Linked DNA regions of Lepisosteus oculatus. The protein of the gene in region 1 purifies or fractionates together with the protein of each later gene. This does not show direct contact. Links are inferred from orthologs where the notes say so. Each region holds a gene or a part of one and is shown in the gene's direction. Other genes may lie near its edges.

Region 1 (7,728 bases):
AGGGTGGACGCTAGCCTACACACAGACTCCTGCTGCCCCATGACCCTGAATTAGATGAAGCAGTTAGAAGATGGACGAATTGATGGTTTTGACTAGAATCAGTTGACTAATAACAATTAAAATAAACAGATTCAGTTTAATGAATCAGGTCTCAGGGTGGACAGTTGCCAGAAGACTGAGTGATTCCTGACTCTGGTAACTGATCAGTTCTCACATAATCTATCTCTTCTCTGGCACACTGCGCGATATCTAGTGATCTCTGTGCAGATACACTCATCATACATAAGCTGATACAAAGTGTTTCAGAATAAATCTCTTACCAACATCCACAGCTTTATGAAGCCAGCTGGTAACTGCAGAAAAGATCAAAGCATCACCATGTGTATGAATTAATGAATTAAGTGCAACAAACACTTATTTCTAAAAAGACATTTTAAAAATAAGAAGTAAAAAGGCTGGACTTACATTGGGTCGTAACTAGACAGGAAGAGAAGTAAAAACTGAGTCAGAAATGTTGGTAATGAATGATTATGATTTCTGAACATATTTAGTTTTATCTGTACTTACAGCGGACTTGCTCATTTACAATGGTTTCTTCAGCAATTTTAGCTAAAAGAAAAAATAGATATTTTAAAGATCAGTAGTTCATAATAGAACTTATAATTTTCTAGAAAAGCATTAGAGCCAGTGACAATGTTCTGAAAAAGGAAATTAGCACCCACAGGTAATGACACTGAATTAACAAGGCTTCACATTAGGTTAATGGCGATCTGCTTGTAGACGCTGCACTCAGACTGACAACACTCTTTGAGGTTGCTTTGCTTCTGACCTGTTATGGACAGCTCATATTCACACATACAGTATACAATTTTTACAGGAAATGTAGGCTTCCGAAAGGTGTTATGCTGGATCTTTCCTAAAGAAGTCCTGAACAATGCTCTTTTTTAGAAATATGCAACCATTTTGCCTCTAAACTCTCATTAGATGCTTCTTTTGTTCCACTTATCCTACAGGGTATTTTGTTTCATGTGACACTCAGTGGAAGGCAAAGACCAGTGGAAAGTAAGGAAAGGGTCCTGTCAGATCGACCCAACTTACCCAGGTCTTTGGTTTTGTCGTTTTTATTAGTGGGATTCAAAACACCCTGTGGATCTGGAAAGGGAATACCAATTGTTAGATGATTTACATGACATAATTCTCATGGCAACAAGCTGGCTTCTTTAAGAAATGGCTGGATGAGACTGCGTCCTGTTCAGGACTCTCTCCACGTGTCACTGTGCTGGGGAGGAGTAGCCCTGAGTGACAGAGAGGTGTTTACAGGGCTGTGGAACGCAAGGAGTATCCTGCTCTTACTGGAGAGGGCTCCTAATGATCGTAATTAGTATAATGACAGTGTGTGGATCATGGAGAGGGACAACTGCTCAAGAATAAACACGTCTGTCAGGTATTTTCACAGAGTATTGCTAGAGCACGATTTGCTCTTTTTTATTTTCCTCTGACCAGTCAAGTTCACATTAGAGAAAAGCATAAATGAGAATATTAAATGTCTAAGTATGTCTGCACCTGTATACTCACACATACTGTTGTCTGGAGACAAATCTCTTTGAATAAATTAAACAGACAGAAAGCAAAAACTCGCAATCTTCTGTGACCAAAGAGCTGGCAACGGTGTAATTTAGATAAATTAATTCAATAATTAAGTAATCTAGGTCATTAAGATCTCTGGCATGGTGAAAACCATAATTCCCTGTGGATGTCTAGAAGAAACAGGGAATATATCTGATATAAACCGTCAGATGCTTGAGCCAGGATGCAGGAGAAACTGTACCCATATCAGAAAGCGTTGTCTCGACCCAGAAAGGGTGTCTCCAGATCTGGTCCTGGAATGTCACACTCCAGCGTTTTTTTACTTTTAGGATTCTTAAACCACATCAGCAGCTTCAGACCTGTTGCAGGAGAGTTAAACTGGACCAATTATGCCTCATGTTAGCTAACTCTTTTCAAAGTCTTGTGCTATGGATAATTGAAGGAGACCTACAGAATATGGGAAACCTGTGAAACAAAATGCTTAGAGCTCACCTAGTGCTCTTGCAATTTCCTTGACGGCCTTTGATACCTTTGTCTTGCTCTTTGACTTGTGTCGGCTGCTTCCTTTGCGCTTTGCCTCTGGAGAGAGAGGGTGATGCAGGTGGGAGAGGGGAGTCCTTTATCAGTGCCTCAGTGCGTGCACTAACTAAATGCACTCTCATGAGGAAAAATGCACTACATGCTAACTGCAGTACACACACACTCAATGGTTAATAAAAAATAAAAAAAAACAGAGTTTTACGACAGGAAATTGATTCCAGTTGTCAGATTACGTATACGCATACCTTAGCGTTGTGCAACAACCTGAAACTTTCAGGTACCATAAATAATATTATTGCAAAACATACACCATTCTAATCTGCAAGCGACCAGAATATAGAATACAACTTTTTGTATAAAAATGCAAATGTTGAGAAACACCCAAGCAAACAAAAAAAATTAGCTTTATTTTTTGCTAATGTTCTAATGAAGGATTCTGCTATGACTGTGCTTATTCAGTTTAATTATTTGAAAGAAGGGACTGGGCTTTTAAAATGCGTCTAATCTGCCCACTAACTATAAACAGACGAATCACTCAGCTCAGGCGACCTCAGCCTGGTCTGCCAACTGCAGTGTCCTACCTGCATCCCAGAGCAGCAGAGCAATCACCAGGAGCAACAGAACCAGTCTTCTCATTGTGCCCAGGTGACAGACCGAGCTCTCTGTATGGTTGTCAGTCTCTTGCTCTCTCTCCTCTCTCCCTTTCCCCCTTCTGTCTGCGTATTTATACATTCTCACCTCTCCTGTGTCCCTCCCAGGCTTCCCAGCAGCAAAGACTAAAATTACAGACCCCGGGTTTGAAGGCACAGAGAAATGAAGGCTTGCTTCCATCTACAGCATCAGATTAGTTCTAAGCACCCTACAATTTCCCCAGGATTCCAGAAAAGGCAACATTCTGCATAATTCATTAGCGCTTTCTGAACTCACTAACCTGGTTAAGTCAGAGTTCTAGCAGCACAAAACAGAACATTGTGTGTATGGGTTGTATTTCTGCACAACCAGCCTCTAACACTATCACTGTGCAAATCCCTCATTACTATCACTCACTTATCACAATCACTGCGCAAACCCTTTCTCACTGTCATTCACTTATCATGATCACTGTGCAAAATCCTCATCACTATCATTCTGCCTTTGCACCTGCAGCAGTTTTCTACAAAGCAGAGGTGGGGACAGCAGTGAACCTTTTAACAAGCCAAGCATCCCAGCGGTTTCTGTGCTCAGTTCACACAAGTGCATCCTCTACCCGCTTAAAGGACATCAGTACTCTTAACTTTGCATGCCAGGCAAAAAGTCAATCTTCAAGCCAGATACAGAGTTCAATGCTTTTGAGAATGCAGCTGATGAGGACTGCATTCTCACAACCTAACTCACAAGGATCTTTTTTAAGCGCTGTATTTGTTTGGATGTTTTTAAAAACAAATCAAGGACATCAATGAGCCCTGCCTGTGAGATCAGATAAGATCACTTTATTAGCCATATACAATTTCTTGCATTAGGAATGTGTCTTTTTGCAGACCCCAGCTTGCTCTCCATGAGACACACAGACAGGGAGAGAAGCTGGGGGTCAGAGCGCAGGGTCAGCCATTTATACGGCGCCCCTGGAGCAGTTGGGGTTAAGGGCCTTGCTCAGGGGCCCAACGGAGTAGGATTCCTCTGCCAGTCGTGGGATATGAACCAGCAACCTTCCAGCCACAGACACAGAGCCACCGCTCCGCCCCTGTAAGTTTCCTTCCTGCCCCCCCTTGCTGAAGGTATGGTGCCTACTCTTCGGTGCCTTCACCACCAATAGTGGTTAATTTGAGGTTACCAGGGTAGGAAATTACAGCTGTTAAAGATGTGTCTATGGAAAATACACATTAAAACTGAAACCGTGTTATTAAAACAATCTGTAGTGTTACTTCCTCGGTGTGTTTATGACAGAAACAGCGACGATCCACAATCCTGCTTCCCTCCTCGGACAGGGTCTGCTCAGGCCGCCTGGTGATAGAGCTCATCCTGGGACAGAACGTGGCGATCCAGGCGTCGGAGTGGAGAGAATTTTCCAGGTGTTTATTTGCAGTCGAGATGTAGCGGTGTGTGTGCGTGCCTCTTTATTAGATCATTTCTGGGTTGCCTCCACTGAACCTACGTCAGGTAGAATAAATAAGAGCAAAATAGGTTCTTATTAACTATTTTTGCTATTTTGCTGAAGTTGATGCAGGAGGCAGAGGGCTAAATTCTCCTGGGTGTCAAACCAGGGAAGGTCAGAGAAACAGGAAGATGACCAAATACATGCCTCATTCACTGACCTCCAGCAGGAATTCAGGTAAATGAGAAATGCAGAGATGCCGTGAAATAATCTTGCGTTCTGTAATACTCTGTAGCTATCATGCTGCGATGGCGCCTACGCATTGTAAAACGTCCGGCTTTGGAGGAGGTACACCGGGCAGCCACACTCAATGAAGAGCTTAGTCTGGGTCGCACTCCGCAGGCGTGGAAACCTCACTGGGGTGGGGGCTGTGTGTCGTACGCATGCGCGCCAGCAGACACGGTGGAGGGGGGGGGGGGGAGAAGGAGGAAGTAGGCTGGGCGAGCATGCGCACTGGCACACCGGTAGCTGGAAGCGGCCTGGCAGGACGTTGAATTTTAGGGAGAAAATTTTTTTTTTTTACAAAAAGCCGAAGCGCCTGAGTCAGGTCATCGACGGGGGTGGGTAAAGAGGAGAGAAGGTAGATTTGGAGTGCGGACTTTCCGAACCGTAGCCGGATCACACAGTATTTGAAACGAAAAACACGTCGAGACATCCATGTAAGTATGACTATTGTGTTATGACACGGTGGAGTCCACGTTAGGATAAGGTCAGCGTTTGCTTTTGGTTTCTCCGAGACACACTCGCCCCGTGTTTTCTGAAAGTGGGCCATTCGCAGTGCACGACTGTATAATATATCAGATCTGCACAGTTACGGGTACAGTTACAAAACCTCGGTGCACTGCCGTCATCCGCCGTTTTGCCGGTCATAGTAAAGACCTCAGACACGCCGCTGGCACGTTTTATCCGGACCAACGCTGGCCGGGCTCGGCGGCACTGGCACTTCGTTCGCCGGTGTTACATCTGCACCGACGGAATCGGCCGTATCGCATTTAGCGGAGAAAGTCCGGTGCTTGTTGCTCCAGCCGGATTTCTGTTCTCGCATGTCATGTACCGGGGGGTGGCTGGCTGTACCCCTGGAGCGCTACCAGGTGTTGGGGGTGACATTTCAGCCGGTCTCTGAACTCACCGCCTGCTCCGGCGGCCGGAGCGCAGCAGTCCCCCAGTGTGTAGCAATTGGGGGGGTTTAAGGAAATGACCTACAAAACTGGCCGGGTTGTTTTTCTCTCTCTCTCTCCGAGAAACAACCTCCTGACACATGCTGTCATTATATGGGGTGTCCCTTTCTGTTCCAGTCATGGAAAACAACAACAACAACAACAACTCATCTCAAGCCACCAATCTGCTGCAAAGCCTTCAGTATCTTTCAGTTGCTGGGCTGGGCTGTGCGTCCCAGTGCGTGTAGGTTTCCCAGTGTGTCGTGATGCAGCTCGTTCTCCCCAGCGCGCAGGCCGAAGACGCCGTGTTCCGGTGGCAGAGGTGTGGCAAAACACTGGAGGTGACACGAACCTCTCGGCTGATACGAGCTCCTGTGATATCGGCTGACAGCGAGCGGCAGGAGAAGGTCGGGGAGACCCCGGGGGGGGGGTCTCGCGAGCGCGTTCGCACCCAGGGTAGAACCCCGTGACGTCAGAGATCCGTCGTCACACGTCGTGATAATCAGATGAGCCCTTGGCGTTGAAGGCCGCCGTCCACCTGCACGTTCATAAATGCTCACTTAAAGTCCCCTTAAAATTAAAAGTCCCAGTTAGCTCCGGTAATACTAATCAGTGCTGGGGTATGTTATAAGCAGAAGCGTTAACAGATCCACTGTAAACACTGTCAGGGCGGGTCACTGGGTAAGGCTGTTTACTCTACCCGCTGGTAGACTGCTGGCAAAGAGTCCGCTTGTGTTTTTCGGGCACATCGGGAGGAGTCTCAGACAGCTCCCAGGCAGGTCTGAGACCAGGGGGTTCGATTTGCTGGTGAGCCTGCTGGTGCTCAGCGGTGAAGGGGAGGCCTTCCACTGTGACTAGAAGCACGTGGCTTTTTACATTTGTTTTCTGAAACCTGGCGCTCCAGGAGTGCAGGACCAGCAGTGTTTCCCCTTCTGAGCATTTAACACCGAGAACAGGAGGGGCTTCTTTACACCGCAGGGTGGTGGGAGTGGGGAACAAGCAGCTGTTGACCATGCTGTTGAAGACAGTACCCTGGTTTCTTCCTAGAAACAGCTGCACGAGGTCCTCGGGTCCTTCAGCTACCGCCAGAGGGGCTAGATGGGTCCAAGGCACTAACGATCCCAGCCCGAACCCCGGCTGTGACCCTTGCCCTCTCTGCAGTCGTTAGCTCCAGCCAGGACAAGCGGCCACTCTGCGGGGGCTTGCAGGAGCTGGGATGATGGGATATCCCTGCGCGTCTCTCTCTTTCCCTCTGGGCTGCCCCGCCAGAGAAGCAGGGACTAACCTCTGGGCCCCTGTCTGTGTGCAGACGCCAGGATGAGCTCGGGAAGGGACAACGTGCGGCTGAAGAGCTACAAGAACAAGTCCCTGAACCCCGAGGAGATGAGGAGGAGGAGGGAGGAGGAAGGCCTGCAGCTCCGGAAACAGAAGAAAGACGAACAGGTGGGCCTGTAACCGGGGGCTGCGGGGGGCCACCCGAAAAATGCGCAGCTCAGCGCTGCCTTCGGTTTACTCTCAGGGGCTGTCAGTTATAGCCTGTAACCTGCTGCAGTTAGGTTAGCCCACTGGGCTAGATGGGGTAAAGAGCCTCCTCTTCTGTTCTTCAGGGACAAATCTGAATTAGCAGCTGTTCACTAGAAGCCTGCAAGCATAGTTACTCTGTTCTTGCGGTTGGATATGGCCCCTTGTAGAAAACCGCATGCAGAATATCAGTGGCTGTTTGGTGCTGGACTGGTGTGTGTGGTCAGTGCTGGTATGTGGTCAGTACTGGTGCTGGGCTGGTGTGTGTGGTCAGTACTGGTGCTGGGCTGGTGTGGGTGGTCAGTAGTGGTGCTGGGCTGATGTGTGTGGTCAGTAACTGGTGCTGTGATGGTGTGTGGACAGTGCTGGTGCTGGGCTGGTGTGTGTGGTCAGTGCTGGTATGTGGTCAGTAATGGTGCTGGGCTGGTGTGTGTGGTCAGTGCTGGTATGTGGTCAGTAGTGGTGCTGGGCTGATGCGTGTGGTCAGTAACTGGTGCTGTGATGGTGTGTGGTCAGTACTGGTGCTGGGCTGGTGTGTGTGGTCAGTACTGGTGCTGGGCTGGTGTGTGTGGTCAGTACTGGTGCTGGACTGGTGTGTGTAGTCAGTGCTGCTGTGTGGTTGGTGCTGGACTGGTGTGTGTGGTCAGTGCTGCTGTGTGGTCAGTACTGGTGCTGGACTGGTGTGTGTGGTCAGTACTGGTGCTGGACTGGTGTGTGTAGTCAGTGCTGCTGTGTGGTTGGTGCTGGACTGGTGTGTGTGGTCAGTGCTGCTGTGTGGTTGGTGCTGGACTG
Region 2 (8,022 bases), on another chromosome or scaffold:
ATCTCTGAGATCAAGAAATGCCACAGTGAAACAAATGTTCCACTCCCACTAAATTCAGGCAGAAACCGGGGGCACAGGGCAGTTTGTCACCTTGTATCTGACATAGTTACGAAATCAAGACACTGGTCTACAAAATGTTTGCAAGCGTTTGGGATAATATGTACTTGTAAGCTCTCCAGTGAGCTGTCGTCTGCTCTTCACTAGGGAGGCAAAATTTGGTGCTCTAACCTGAGTGGGATTTTTAAAAATACTAGAACAATTCTGAAAGTTTTAAAAATAATTTTAGAAATCGGTTACTATATAAATAGAATACATTGATTCGCCTGTCCTGCTTTAAACGATTTAATATTTTACACATCTCACTGTATTCACGCTGAGGCCATGTTTTAATTGTCGGAATGCAGGCAGTAATTAGACCAATTACTACTTGACCAGTTAATTATCTACTTAGTGAGCAGATACATAGTTGTAATTCTTGATCTAACTTCGCGCTTGTACTGTAGGTGCAACAATAGAATATGTGTGAATAACAGACAATTAGTTAAGCAGTTCTAATAATAGAACATTTTAATATGACTGGAATATTATTGGCCAACTATTCTATTATTATAAGTTAAATAATAAATACTATGAAACTATCTGTTTGGCTGCTGCAAACTATACCACTGGTATAATTGTGTTTGAAGATTTACTTTAAAAAAAACATCTCTATGTTGAGAAAACAATATTACTTTTTTATAGTTTCGTGTTTATAAAATAGTAGAATATTTCTGGTATAGTCTTCATTGAGAACAGTCACAGCAGTGCTGTATACTCTCCTAATCTGTATCGCTTTCATAAATAAACTGAACTGCATCTACCCTGTAGAGGGAGCTATAAACTAATTTGTTGGCGACAAACCTGGCCTGCAGCTGCAACAGTCAGGTGGGTACAGCTTATTTTTTTATAGTTCTGAGGCTGAAGGTATTCTTCAGCATTCAAGGACCTGAAAATTAACTAATCAAAAATGTTGACCTAACCCCTGTAATGCAAATATATCATGATTTGTAGAGAAATGTGAGTCCAGCATTCTAACACTATTTTTTACATTACCAATTTACAATGACTTCCTAAAAATCTGATTATTGCTACTTCATTAGCTTCCTGATTTTTCTTGTTTAGTTTATTGAACAATTGCAATGCTCTTAAGCTGTACCATAGTTAGCTAAAAAGCTCATTTACATTTGTTATCCCTGGGCAGGACACAACTAACAAAATACAAGGCACAAACATATAAAAACAACAAAACATTTAATGATATATGGTATAATAAATAGAAAACATATATTACAAATTGTAAAATGCTCAAGAATAATTGCATGTTAAATTAATATATCAAAAGTTGCAAAAGGATCACTTTAGAAAACAATAACTTGTTTCCAGATTAACATGAACATTAATCCAGATTAATGACATGACCTATTTGTATACAGGTTATTTGCCTGATTGCCTGTTCAAGTGAATGTCAGGAATTATGCTCTCAGTTGTAAAAAGAAATCTGTTGAAGAAACTTCACTTCTGAGAACATCTATATATCAATTCTGATTTATGTTAATTCAAAATGTGGAGATTCCACTTTAGTCACTTAGTTTAAGATATACAACAGATATGAAGCACTGGAAAGTAACAAAGGTAGGCAAATGCAACATAATCCAAGTTTTATTTCATTTTATTTTCATATAGTGAAATGTTGGTGTGTTGTAGTTTTTCATTTCAAACTGATTAAATGCATGACGTAGTATTTGTGTAAATTAATTTCAGTTACAAGTATCAATTTTTTATCAGTAATTTGAGAAAATGTTGTATTTTGTACTCTTAAAAATTGCTTATGCATGAAAACAAATGAAAGTGAAAGGCTAGAGGTACATTTAGTTACGATGACAAATTAACAGTTACACTTATAAAATATATATATATATGTTTCCCTTAAGAGCCAGTTAATTTACACATGTTTTCAAGTCCACTATTTTATACTTCTTTGTCAAACGTAATATGTGATAAAGCCAAGAATATTAAGGTTTTAGGGTAAGGGAAACATATGCCTTTTCCTCCCACAGGGTGGAGCACTGGGTCACCCGTTGTTTCAAATTTTGCTCAATTTCCTCAATTCAGTTTCAACATTCTGAGATAAACATGTACAGACCCAGCCGATATATTTTAAACAATAAAATAATTATCTGTTGTTTCTTCGGAATATATTTATATATAATGCGAATAAATTAATTTAAAATTACACATCTGCTTTAAATATGTATAATGGTCAGATCAAAATGTTATTTTGTGTAATTAAGATAATGTAATTGTGCACTAGAGTAAATTAAAACTAAAGCAGTTAAGAAACCGTTTAAATATTTCCGTGAAATCTCTAACCAACCGCCTGTGAAGAAACATACTCAAATCCTGCCGACTACTTATGTTTCGGGGCTTCACTAAACCGGAAGCACGTGTTCAGAACAATACAACAAGATGAACTAGAAATTATCCCCATTACCTCGGTTAAATATGCAAAATTTGAGTCGGTAACAACAAAGTACTATTCACTGGTAACATTTTAGCACATGCGAGTTTCGTGTGCGTCCTCGAAAAAGCTAAAAAGAAACAGTCTAAGAATACGCTACAGCACACCACGTGCTCCTGTTAAATTAGTTTCTTAGCTTTCGGTTATAACCATTTACAAACCGACAAGACTATAACGTGGACCTATTTTCTATACAGAGGTGCGTGTGTATACTTCTCCTGACATCTCCCAACAAAATGGGGTCTGTCAGACGCCGGGTTCCGCCATTTTGTGAAAGTGCCGGAGCGATAGGGGTACGTGTAATGGTTGAATACGGTGACCCCCTCTCGCAGATATGCGTCTGGCAGTTATGAAAAGGGATCGTGAGCAATTTTCGATTTTCCCAGCACAGACAGATCCTCCCCCAGCGTCCTCATGAAGTTAACGCAAGCATACTAAATACCTCCGTTACTGTCCTGTTGTTTTTTTTTCTGAAACAGCTTTCCAAGACTCGCTGAAATCCGGCTTCATGAGACCGTGGTTATTTTAAGGGATGTGCTTTACCGACATTACAAAAAAAAAATAAGACAACGTAGCCTTGTCTATAGCAAAATGCGAGGAAAGACGAAATATCACAAAGGGTGCTTGTGGTACACTTTAACCTGCCGTCGCTTGAACATGTACACTGCGTCTCTGTCCCCACGGCTGTAAGAAATGAAAACCCAACAGTACCAAGTCCAGCTCTGCTGCAGGCCGGCTGCGCAGGAGCAGCCTAGTCTGATCGCCCCCTTCCGTCACGAAGCTTGGTTGTTCTGTGAGGCAGTGCTGTGGTTAAGGGCCGTTCACGGCGGCAAGAAGGGCTATCAGGGAGATCCCTTGCCGAAAAGCACCACTTCGCAGATGTAAACACTGAATATGGGAAACTACAGATTCGCCGTTTTAATCAAACGTATAGCTTCAGTGCTGTCAGTGCTGAGTTCATGGGAGATTTCCTATTATGTGCAGAATACGAATACTGATACTCTGTGTAGAACAACAACAATTCTGAATCCTACAGCAGCATAATAAACATTGCACACTTTGAAATGACATCTGACAGATGACAATAATGATATAGATGATGATGATAGAGTGCTGCTCTGCTTAAGTCATTGATTCACACAGTTCACACAAGATCTTCTCTGTGCTGCCTTGTTATAGCATTTATTTTTAGTTTTTGTCGAAATTTACGTGAGATTTAAAATGAACACTATTCAAAAATGAACTTAAGATAGCTTAGTAGTGGATAGTGGAGTTTAATATACGACTTTAATACCCTTTAAGTAATTCGCATTGATCACTTCAGAGTGTACATGATTTAACATCTGGACAATTGCGCTCCAGCTCCAGGGTGAAATTGTTATAACTGAGGTACAGTGACGTAAGACACCTTTCAAACTACTACTACTACTAATACTACTACTGTATTGCTCTGTCGAGGAATTTCGCGGGGGTGACATTAGGAACAGGAGCACTTTGGTTTGCCAATTTTAAGCTTATTAATTTGATCTGTCTTCAGCAATAATCAACGCACGCATTAGAAAATGACTGCACTGTAACAGTTTCGGAATATCCTGACCTTCTATTATTCACTGAAATAGTATGAATATAGTAATAATTCATAGAGCATTTATAAACTAGACAATCACCTAATATAACTATTATTAGTAGTATAATTCAATAATAGTGTTGCATATAGGCCATTAGTGTGAAACTTCGATCTCAATTAAAATTTAACTAGACTTATTATTAAATAATAAAGTGTTTTTTTTTGTAAAACATGATTCTCTTCATGCTTCTTTTAACAAGTCCCCCATGTCTTGATAAACATCTAGTAGTACAATTACCAAAAATAATTTATTTTTCTGTTTAAGTGTATAGTTATTACAAGTTAGATGGTTACGCTACTTACAAATGATCATTATTGTTCTCAATTGAATTATCTATTTTCATGCACTTCATTTAATATTAATATGAACATTAACCAAGGACTCCTAATTTGCACTGGTTACAAGGTGTATTAGTATGTCACTGTTCAACTTCTATGCAGATAACCAGAAAATGAAAGCTGAGCAAAAACGAACAGATTTCAGTGAAATGTGTAATGTGGAGTCCGCAGAGTACTCAATATGTTATTTTTGGCTGATGCTGACTTAAGAATGTCGATTCAAGGTTTTTTTATAACTACCTGTAGCAAGTTTCATGGAGGAGAAAAAAAAAAGAAAGGCGTCCCATCCCCCACCAACATTTAACACGGCCTTCTGTTTTAACGGGTTTAGGAAGTTTCCGATGAGCCCTAAGCAGAAAACACTGTCTATTGTTCTGGTAACCGCTCAGGGTAGTGCAGTGCCGAGCTGGCTGCTAGAGGGCGCTGCGCGACGCTCGGAGCTCTCGGCCTCAGGATCTTTTTGTCTGAGAACTGGATCCCGCTGCCGCTTATACAGTGTGTGTGAGATTGCATGGAGCCGCGTCTGTAACACACTGTCAAACCACTCCAAAACGAACACAATAGCAACCAAAACAATTCATTTACTATACAGAACAATGTCAATTTTAGTTTGCCGTCAGAATCGGTCGTAATTCGGATTGCTTGGTGGAAGTTATAGTAGGCTAAATCGGGTCTTGTTTTCTCTGTGTGCATACACATTATTATCACTCTTCTCGCTCTTATTTCTTTAACTTTTTAAAACACTCAGCTTTCTCGTCAATGACTGAGCGCCGGCGGAGTATGGGATCCTTGGTATCTTAGGAAGCGAATGAGTGGGGTTTTAACTGTTTTTTAATATTTTTAAAATGGCAAATTCGACGGGGAAAAATCAACCTGATCAGCGAAGGAAAGGACTGGCTTTCCTGGACGAGCTGCGGCAGTTTCACCAAAGCAGAGGGTGAGAAGGGGGCGGCTTTTAAACCTAAAAATATAACTTTAAAAACACGTTTAACGACAAATAAACATAGCCGGGGGCTCGCGGAAAGGCAATCCTGTATTAATTTCACGCTTTTCCCTTGTAGCTCACCGTTTAAGAAGATCCCAATCGTGGGTGGGAAAGAGCTGGATCTTAATGCTCTGTACACCCGAGTCACTACTTTAGGTGGATTTGCTAAGGTGAGTGGAAGTTTATATTCGCATTTCCCACTCTCAGCTCACGATATAACTGCCCGGGTCCGCTAGGAAACTCGTGGAGAAGCGGCTGGGCTCCTGCAAGGTGTTTGGCTGGCTCTGAATCGGCGGTGGTAAAGACGGGTTTGACGATGGCCTTGCGCTGGTCCTGTGAGTGTAGTGCTGTGTTGTGTGTCTGTGCGAGAGTGCTGGGTTTGCATTGAGAGTCAGTCTCTCAGCTGCTCCGCTTGCTCGGAGTCTGAGTGCAGTTTTAGTGCAACTCAAAATTAGCGGGCATGTTTAACATCGATAATCGGCACAGAGCATGGGCTAGGAAATGCTCCTCGCCGCGGGGAACGGCTCTCCTGCCTCGATTTTAAGCAGAAAAATCACAAAGAAGCCAGCCATGAGCCATAGCCATCTTAGGCTTCATGGCTGAAAACAAAATGTAGGCCTCAGACAGGCCTATATTTATTGAATACCCATAGAAATGTAAAAACGTCCCAAAATCATGACAGACCGTTATTGGAGGTATCGATCGCATCAGAGCGGTCTCGAAGTGTCACCGAGAGTCTGGACCGCTTTTTAGTTGACATTTCAGAGTAACGGGGGGAGGGGGAGGTCCATTGTTTCATATGGGAAAATAATACAAAATTGTAAACAAAATACATTGGATAGCTTGCTGACAATTAATATTGTAACACTGCGGTGTTTGGATACTCAAAAGTTTTGTTATTGACGTTATTGTGGGGCTTTTAGATACTCAAAGCGTGCTTGTTGAAGTGAATTTAATTAAAACACTGACTTTTTATTGTAGGTTTCTGACAAGAATCAGTGGTCTGAACTTGTCGAGGACTTTAATTTTCCAAGGAGTTGCTCCAACGCTGCTTTTGTTTTAAAACAGTATTACCTTCGGTAAGTTCTTCTTTCTTGAAATATTCTGTGAAATGTAGCCTTATTTAAAACAGATGCATGCGGTGTATGTTTACAGGATTTGATTCCTGTTGGAGGGAATGACCAAGAGATAACCCGAGACTTTTGTGACCCTGTTTGTTTTAAGTTGACTGCCTTGGGAAGCCACGTGTGTATACAATATCCCATTTGAAGAAATGCCACATTTGAGAGATTTGGGATATCTGCTAGGCATTACATCTACAGATGCAACGTTGCTTAGCACTTGGGGCTCCTGTCATTTTCAGATTGCTTACATCTTGAACAAGTGCACTTATGTCTTGAACTCCTTAGAAGGTTTCACAAATATAGTCATGCATGAGTTCTGTGGGTTCTGCAGCAGGAAAATTCTTCTTTAAATCTTGCTCACTTTTACATCTATGTTTTATTTTGCAAGTCCCCATTTTGAAGGACACAAGTTTTTTTTAACCAATTTTCACTGCTTTAACCGTTTATTTTGACAAACTAGGGCTTGATGGTGCTTTTATTGGACATGTGTCATAAAATGTAAAAGAAAACAATATAGAAACATTTTAACTCTTTATTTTGGGGGTGCACAGAAGACAAAACTTTGCTGGGTGAGAAGGCTACATTATTAGAGCTCAAGTGAATGTATCAGGAGTTGACTTACCCTACTGTGAAACAAGTGAAAGGTAGTTTTCATTTTCAATGAGTTTATTCTTTTTACTATAAGATGCGTAAGCTCCTTGATTATCTTAGATTTCTGAAGCAGATATGTAAAAATATCAATGTAGGTCTTATATATGGCGTTAGTGTTGAGGTTTATGGCTTTTTTTCAGCTGCACTGTTTTGCTGTCAATTTTAGAGGTATTGGCTTATACTTGGTGTAGGTCATAAGGGGGACAATATATGTTTTGGGTTTTCTGCTATAGTCAACGAAGCAAGCACTAATATCTGTAAATGCAAGAATGTTAACCTTGACTTGTTGTGAAAAGGAGACTTGTGCCTTCATGAAACTAGCTTCTGTACAACATATGCAATACGAACTTGATAGTATGCAGACGAGCCCTATTGATTGGAGTTGTCCTTAAAACCCTGTTTCATTCCATCACTCACAGCCAGCCCCCGAGCTTTAGAGTGTGCTGCATATGTTGGCTCTGACAGATTTTCCCTCCAAAATGTCTTGCCTGCATTTTTCACCCAGCTTGTTCTGGGTTTAGTTGAGTTGCAGTGGCACAGAATGACCATGTGTTCATGCGTTTGCACAGTGCTTGTAGTAAATACCAGTGCATAAGATTAACAGCCAGAACATTAGAAGTGGTGTTATGACTTATCCATGCACAGCTATCAAACAGCACTCGGTCGTGCCCACCGTTAATTTGTTGAAACACAGAGATGGCACATGTTAGTGGTTCTTCTGAATGTGAAATAAGATGCC
Region 3 (7,657 bases), on another chromosome or scaffold:
TTCGGGCAATCCGACAAACTCCAGAAAGGGAACCAAGTTCACTCCCCTGAAGAACACATTGAACACAGTTGTTTCTTCTCCAAATTCAACTACCGTCATCAACCACTTCTGATGGGGCCCAGGCAATGCTAGCTGTCAATGCAGGATGACGGCACACCGCGGAAATGATCCTGAATTCCCCGCCTTTGTCAGTTACCAGTTATCCTTTGACCAAGCAATTGACTTACAATTGGCTTAGTGTATTGACTGTTCCCATGTGACGACACTGGTCACGATCGTCAAGATCAGTTTGTGCAAAAGCTCCGCTGCATCACTCGATCACATCATTACACAATGAGCTTGATGCTAGCTATGCTCAAATCAACCTTCATGCAAATGGGAGGTGATTAAATTGAGAGAAGGTCCTCCGGAGACCTTTAGATCTGATGTCTGATCACTGTCGCCTTTTTCAAATCAAGAAAGGAGTCGTACAGTGAGATGTCAGATGATGCATGGGTGGTAGGCCGGCGCACACAATGGTAAAAACAAACAAGCCAAATTGCAGACTGCAGGGGAGGGAGAGACTGTCGCACAAGATGAGTGCGGTGAATGTATTCAAGCTGAAACTGGGTCTGTGGTCTTCACAGCTAAAGAACAACATGACAGGGCAAATCCGGAGGAAACCCTACAGCACATCAACGAGAGAGGGCTCCATCCAGAACCCCTGGACAAACTAGAGGATACATTCAAAATATTATTTCAGGAGGTAGATCTTTGTCTTTATTTCCAACCTTCTTCTTTAAGTGGGTATTGGAGGGCTAACAGAAAAGTTTCAGCTGGGGAATGAACACTTATTTTTTTAAATAGGACAGTGACCAACTTAGCACTTACAGCCCACCGACACTCTTTTAACTACAAGGTATGTTCGTAAGCTTGTCTTTTCACCAGCAGGCACCCCATTTGTGCAGGACATCACTATTTGAAGCCCCCATGTGCATCTTATTGGAGATCTTGTCTCAGGATCTGTGGGAAACTCAAAAGTAGGTCCTGTATTCCTGTAGTTTACTGAGTGAAATACTGACAATGCCTCACCATAGCACAAATACCTTTAAATTATTTTTGCCTGGCATTATCAATGGAGCTTCCCAGGCAATAAATGGTTGTTTCCTCGTTAAACTCGGGTTGCAGAGCGAACAGCTCTTTGTGAAGACCCTTAACAAAGTGGAAGCCACTTTCCACACAGGTCTGAAGCTCAAAGCTCTCCACTTACTTCATGGCAGCATAGTAGAATGAGCCGAACCACACTGTAGACGTCACAAGATGCACGGGAATCATGACTTTTCCGTACTGCTTGAAGGTCTTCTTAAACCTCTGGTAGAGGCCGCTGGATGTGTCCTGAAGGGGGTCCGCCTCTGTCTCAGGGGCTGCGCCGGGTGGCGGATCACTGCCCGTGGCGCCCAGGGCCCCTTGTGGAGACACCGGCGGGGGCTCGTCGTTGATGCCGGCCTTGCGCGGCTCCGCGGCCGTCCGTGCGGAGGACGCGCTCACCCATCGCCGGGAGGGAGACAGCCACCCCTTGCAGGGACCTCCGGGTGGGACACCGCCCGCTGGGCCTGGAGTCGGGCACAGAAGGAGAGGGCGTGCCGCGTGCACCTGCCGGAGAACAGTCTGTAACAGAAGCCGCTGCATCTCCAGGCTCCAGTACCGTCTGGGAGCAGATTACAAAGAACAAGAAAACGCATTTACTCCAGCGGGGTCTGACAAATCCCTGCGATCAGCATCAGCGCATATCAACCTAAATACATGTTTTTAAAAGATCTGTCTTCATTTGAATCGGGCGACGTACATTCCCGCCTTCCAGGAAAGCGGACTTAACTCTTGTTAAGTTACTGAACTTGGGACCGAACAAAAATATTTCTTTTAATCAAACACGATCGTGGTAATGTACCCACTTGAGATGCATTATCAGATGCGACAAACTGCTTTCTTGTAAGTTATACTAATTAATGCTTTGTATTTGTTGTGCAATAATGTTTACAAACACCTATTTGCATTTTAATGTCGAAACTGCTTCCTTTACCTTCATTGAAATAGAATGTAGCCTGAAAATTAAGTTCTGGCCTTAATGCTTTACACCGTATAATTGCTATTATCCCAGGAATAGACAATTTAACTATTCTGGGGGTAGATCGATTTTACAGATCCGTTACGTGTGAACTTTCAGCTCGATGTTTCCTGTGCCACATCTTTTCCATTACTCTTGATATCCCACTGAACTTCTGTTAACTGTAAGTTCTACTGTTATGAAGATGTGGCTTTTAGATTATACAACTAAAAATCCGTCCACAGTATTTGTGTTCTAATTCTTACTACAATCCTTTTGTGTAGCACAGTGCAGACAGGTTTTGCTAATCTTATTATCCTTACTCCATATTATTTTTTTTGTTGTACTTGCATGATTCCAGAGCAATATTTTGTATCATGAGGTCTTGCTGCAATGCAATATTGTAACATAACATTTCTTGATTTATAAAGTTACGTTTTTAACAATGTATCCTCACATTTGATCACTTCTCCCAAAGCTGTCTAGAAGATGAAAATTATGATAATCTTTCTCAAAGCCAGCCTATTCAAACTGCGGTTTCCCGTATTACATTTTATATTTGGAATTTATATTTTTGCTACCCAAAGGCAAAACCCTATATCTGTGTTAAATGTATCAGTCAGGCTTTTGACCAGCCCTGAGTTCTCTGAATAGTAATGTTCTTGTCATCATTTGAAATCATTCCCATTTTTATCCCCTAGACAAATCATTTCTTTGTGTTTTTTTGTTGTTGCAATACTGGAAAAAACTTAATATTTATTTTAGTCTCCTTTGCAAAATTCCTTACTATCTTTCTCATGGTCTAATATCCTTTTTATCTCAAGAATGCATTTAATTAGTTTTATAACTTTTTTTTTAACACTTTATGAAGTGCTTCATTTCTCCTTATATTCTTCTTAATTTACTTATTCAGCATTCTGGGCCACTGTTTTCCTGACTCTGATTTGTTTACTCGTGAACTGAATCTGTTCTGTGTTACAAGCAGAATACATATAAACCTTTGCCATACACTTTCTAGAAGATCTATATGTAGATTTTCCCTTTCTACTTATGTACTGTCTCATTCCTTTATTGTCTGCTTTTCTGAACTTGCAAATGTTTGTGTTGACTCACCTGCGCAGTTTGAAGACCTATTCGAAAACATCAATACTAAGACAGCAGTTCCCTGATGTTTCTGTTTTTCTTACTCCATCTTGTCAGAAGAGACTACATCAATACAAGTATTTACTCCTGGAGGTCCTCTGACGCAGTTATCTACTAGATTCCTAAACTGACATTCCTATTGGTTTTTCCCAATCTTAATGTTAAAAATCCTCCATGAAACCACTTCTTTTTTCACATACTATATATATATATCCTTAGTTTCATCATATAAACCTGCATTATAATTAATTTCTGAATTTGGTGTCTTGCATTCCACACAGGAATTAAATAATTGTGACCAACACAATTTTCAAGAACCTTTACATTCACAGATTTTGATTCACAGTCTGACAAATCGATAGGTGATTTTTTTTGTCAGTCCTATGAACAAGAATGATTAAGAAAGTAACTTTCACGTTGTAATTTGTCATAAAACAATCATCAACTAGAGAGGAGATCCCTTTAGGTTGTAGTAGTCCAAAAAACTAAGTGTACTAAGAAAAAAAACTTAAAAAGCAGTCTTACCTTAAAAGAATGATTGATTCAACCGTTTTATTACCTGAGCTGAAATACAAAAATATTTTGGTTAAAAAAACATCTGCGAAGCCGAATATATCAAGGCCGGATATATCAATTTTGATTAAAAAAATCGTATCACTCTTTTAAACCATACAGTATATTCTGGCTACGCAGAGATTCTTGCATTTCGGGATGTCCAAGAGTGAAATTATCATTGTTCACAGGAAAAGAAAACAAACGTTCAGCGATTAAACTTCTAAATGCCTGGTTTCTTACACTGTATATTGGTTTCATTTGTGATGCCTACGTTTCTGTTCACCTAATTAAAAAGGCCTCTCGAGACAATTGGCATTGACAAGCCCTGGCTTGAAGATTTGTACGTGACTGGTGATTTCTAAGCCTTCGCCCTCACAGTCAAGTCCAGCTTTAGAAGCAGTTAAGGCCCCATTCTGAACACCTGCCAAATATATGTCGGCAAAAACTCCACAGCAAATAAGTAAAAAACACACGGGGTTTTTCGATTTAAAACGCAGTTCTATTAAATGTTCAGAGTACGTACGTTTAGAACTAGGTCCAGCATGATGTGGTGAAATCCCAACTAAAGTTTGAACCGAAAGACAGACATGCCCGCTCTGTCATTCAGAACACACCAGCTAGATGGCATGCCTCCCCGCATGGTGGGAAACACGCGCGGGACTCTGGGAAATGTAGTGCAACGAAGCCTCAAAACTAGTGTGGCACTATCCTCTACTTTCATCATTAAAACTACAAGGTCCAGCACCGGCGAGAGGGCGGAGATTTTCTCAAATAAGGAAACAGGATCTACTGCTTTCCCAGCATGCTTAGGAGCGGAAGTAGCATGCCGTAACAAAGTAGGTATGGTGCGACGGTGCAATGTTAATAGTGCGGATATTATTATTTACAGAAATTAAATATCTTTTTCAGTATTTTTAATTGCGCGTTTGCTAATGTTTCAACAGAACTGGTTCTTTCCCTAGTTAGATTAGCTCGGAATTAGCCTCGGATAATTTTGAGTGTAATGTAAACAACTGTGTTGTAATGCTTCGTTCGTGTTCCTGGGCATCTTCGAAAATCTGCTATCAGCTATAATCTTGGATTTAGACGTTTGAAAAAAAAAACCCACGTAAGATCGTTAGACAAACCGCGGCTCGATTTGTTAAACGACTAGTAACGAAATGTGTGTCGCAGTTTGCAGTCTAATCCCTATGAATGTATTGTTTTGGTTTAGTCCGTAGCTTGATGCATGTTCTCTTTAGATGTTTTTGTTACGTGTTGTGCTCGGAGTGGGTTATTGAATGATTTCAGGACGTCTTGAAGCCGGTGTGTGATACTGAGTTGATGGTATATACTGAAGAACTTCGTACGCGCCCCACGTTTATCACGGTTGAGAATTAACGACGCAGCGCTAAACGTGTGTTATCTGTTGGAGTAGAATATCTGCACGTGAAATGGGGGAAAAAAACCTGTTTTAAAGACGTATATTCGGGAGCAAAAAGGAAAGTTTTCCATGGAGCCGGAGTGGGGAAACAAGCTACGTTTGAGGATGGGGGAGGGGCAGCGTGAACCTGTCCGCTTGGCTCTCTCACGAATTTCATGGAGTGGTTCTTGTTTCTCGGGTGCGGTGTTTTGCCATGTTACGGTCCTTTTGGCTTTGGCCGATTTTGTTTCCCAGTGAAGAAACGCGAAACACCCGCTAAATCCGAAATAAAACTGGGCGCTTTTCATTTCACCTCAGCCTGTCCGGTTTACAGGTGACGCCGGTCATTAATCTAGGATTAATCCTGCTGTTGACCGCTTGTACATGTGGTGGCGCATTTCGCCTGTTGGGCAGGACACCGCTACATTGCCCTTTTCAACAGAAAACAACCACAACTACAATATTTAAAATCGTTTCATAATAAAAAAAAACAATTATGGTAAATAATGCTACAAATCATATACCCAGAGAACGACATGTATAGCTAAATTCTAGCGAACACTGTTTCCTTTAAAGGACCATAAAATATATAAAAATACATTTTATCTAAATTATTCACATTATATTCAAAGTATAGTCTGCAATACGCCCTGCGTCTCTGGTATCGGCATGAATCGATTTTACTCGGAATGGCGTTTATTCATCAACAAGTAAAGGCGTGGAAACGGAACCTGAGTGAACGGTCATTAGGAGTCAAGGGTGTAATGAAGACATGGTAGCTCTCCTGGACTTCGTGTATCGCTAAACTGCCACATACAGGATCCATCCATCCAATAGAACTCCGTAACTAACACTTTAGTATCTGCTTTGGGTTCTGCCATGGCTTCTGCACACTGAAGAATTTACTGGCATTGTGTGAGACCCATTAACCACACTGTAGTCTCCAGTCTCTCCCAACCCCCTTCCACTCTGGTATCATCACATGACTGTTATTTATTCAACTAACTCCTGGATATTGACAAAGAATGGTTTGGGGTTCCTTGTCGTTTGGTAACGGTAGAGTGCATGTACGAAGGCGACACTGCAATTTCAGCGCTGTTTTGCTGGTATCGGGGTCAGTCAGCGCCAGGTTTAGGAGTTGGCTTGGCGATGCTGTAATCTTGCTTGGACACTGTTTTGTTTGCCTCACTCTGCGACCAGTGCACCAGCTGTTGTTGCAGCAATGCCAGAGGAATTCCTTAATGTTTTAACAAGATAACGCACGTCCCCATATGGCAAGGGTCACTCTAGCCTGTAACATCAAGGACCTTCCGGATCAAATTACATATTTTAAACCATTCGAGAGCCTATTGGAAATTATTGAGTAAACCAAACATGATTTTTTTTTTTAATTCTGGGGCGCTTGCATTTCTGAGGTTTTTCAGTATGTGCATCGATTTCACCGTTCACTGTAGAGTCAAAGAGGTGCAATGAAGAAGAAGTTTACCTAAGAAACTGTAAAGGTCTCTGTTGGTGTTTGGATGCACTCGTGTTTACAGATTTCGCCTTGTTTTCACAGAAAACATAGCGAAGGAGGAGTGAGGATTTGATTCGACAGTCGACACATCTCTAGTAGTAAATTTGAAGGAAAAGAAGAAAAGCTGCGTGGAGAATCGGTGCTCAGGAGTAGCCATGGAAGGTGCGGCTCAGAAGGAGGAATGCTCTTCGGATGGAGGCGTTTTCCAACCGGAGGACCGCAAGGATTTAAACAGCGCGGCTACAGAAAGGCACACGGAGGGAGATGGAAATGGCGTCGCCTGCATTAGTTCTGGCATCTGTGGGAAAGGAGAGGGTGCCAGATCGGACCAGCAGTCCCCAAGGAAGAGGAAACGGGAGTCGGAGGATGAGCCTCTAGCCAAGAAGCTGGTAAGAAACCTTAAATATGCTGCTTAATCACTAAGAGGAGAGTCTCGTAGGTCTGTACGCTCCGTGCACAGCTCAAAAACAACCTAATCGAAGAAAGTTTCATCTTCTAAGCGAAAGGTCCTGATTTTGTTTTCAGGTGGCGCAGTGGTTAGCATTGCTGCCTTGCACCCTGTGTGCTTGTGTGCTCTCTCCATCTTGGCGTGGGTTTCCTCCCACAGTCCTCGGACCTGCTGGTAGGTTAATTGGCTTCTGGGGGAATGGGCCCTGGTGGGAGTGGACCCTGTGAAGGACTGGCATCCTGCCCAGGGTGTACCCCGCCTTGTGCCCTTAGCCTGCCGGGAGAGGCTCCTTCTCCTCCGAGACCCTGAATTGGAAGAAGCGGTTAGAAAATGCATCTTGAAATCGTTTTCAGCTGTCTTACCCTGTACGGCCACAAAAACGTTGATTTGACTGAGTAGGAGGAAGTGTCTGGGGAGAAATGGCGCTAGCCATGTGCACCCCTGACGTGTGCCTATAGGAGCATATTGAAAAGGCCTAATTGAGCTGGAAGGCCAGGTAAGAGAGACTGT

The links.
Region 2: the proteins of kpna1 (region 1) and arid2 purify together in Homo sapiens (co-immunoprecipitation; 3 studies listed by BioGRID and IntAct, with this or other methods). This does not show direct contact. The link is inferred for Lepisosteus oculatus from reciprocal best matches to the Homo sapiens genes KPNA1 and ARID2.
Region 3: the proteins of kpna1 (region 1) and rnmt purify together in Homo sapiens (co-immunoprecipitation; 4 studies listed by BioGRID and IntAct, counting the BioPlex papers as one, with this or other methods). This does not show direct contact. The link is inferred for Lepisosteus oculatus from reciprocal best matches to the Homo sapiens genes KPNA1 and RNMT.

The regions. Positions count from the first base shown.
Region 1 is NC_090700.1:4,265,995-4,273,722, reverse strand, and holds the start of kpna1 (importin subunit alpha-5), read left to right. Parts: upstream 1-4,724; 5' UTR 4,725-4,917; intron 4,918-6,724; 5' UTR 6,725-6,732; coding exon 6,733-6,858; intron 6,859-7,728. UniProt on the Homo sapiens protein: Functions in nuclear protein import as an adapter protein for nuclear receptor KPNB1. Binds specifically and directly to substrates containing either a simple or bipartite NLS motif.
Region 2 is NC_090702.1:29,026,226-29,034,247, reverse strand, and holds the start of arid2 (AT-rich interactive domain-containing protein 2), read left to right. Parts: upstream 1-4,915; 5' UTR 4,916-5,368; coding exon 5,369-5,460; intron 5,461-5,584; coding exon 5,585-5,678; intron 5,679-6,489; coding exon 6,490-6,587; intron 6,588-8,022. UniProt on the Homo sapiens protein: Involved in transcriptional activation and repression of select genes by chromatin remodeling (alteration of DNA-nucleosome topology). Required for the stability of the SWI/SNF chromatin remodeling complex SWI/SNF-B (PBAF).
Region 3 is NC_090705.1:9,533,028-9,540,684, forward strand, and holds the start of rnmt (mRNA cap guanine-N7 methyltransferase), read left to right. Parts: upstream 1-4,550; 5' UTR 4,551-4,617; exon of another isoform or gene 4,618-4,621; intron 4,622-4,673; exon of another isoform or gene 4,674-4,889; intron 4,890-6,741; 5' UTR 6,742-6,854; coding exon 6,855-7,088; intron 7,089-7,657. Other genes in the region: fam210aa (uncharacterized protein C18orf19 homolog A), read right to left, coding at 1-46, 1,250-1,668. UniProt on the Homo sapiens protein: Catalytic subunit of the mRNA-capping methyltransferase RNMT:RAMAC complex that methylates the N7 position of the added guanosine to the 5'-cap structure of mRNAs. Binds RNA containing 5'-terminal GpppC.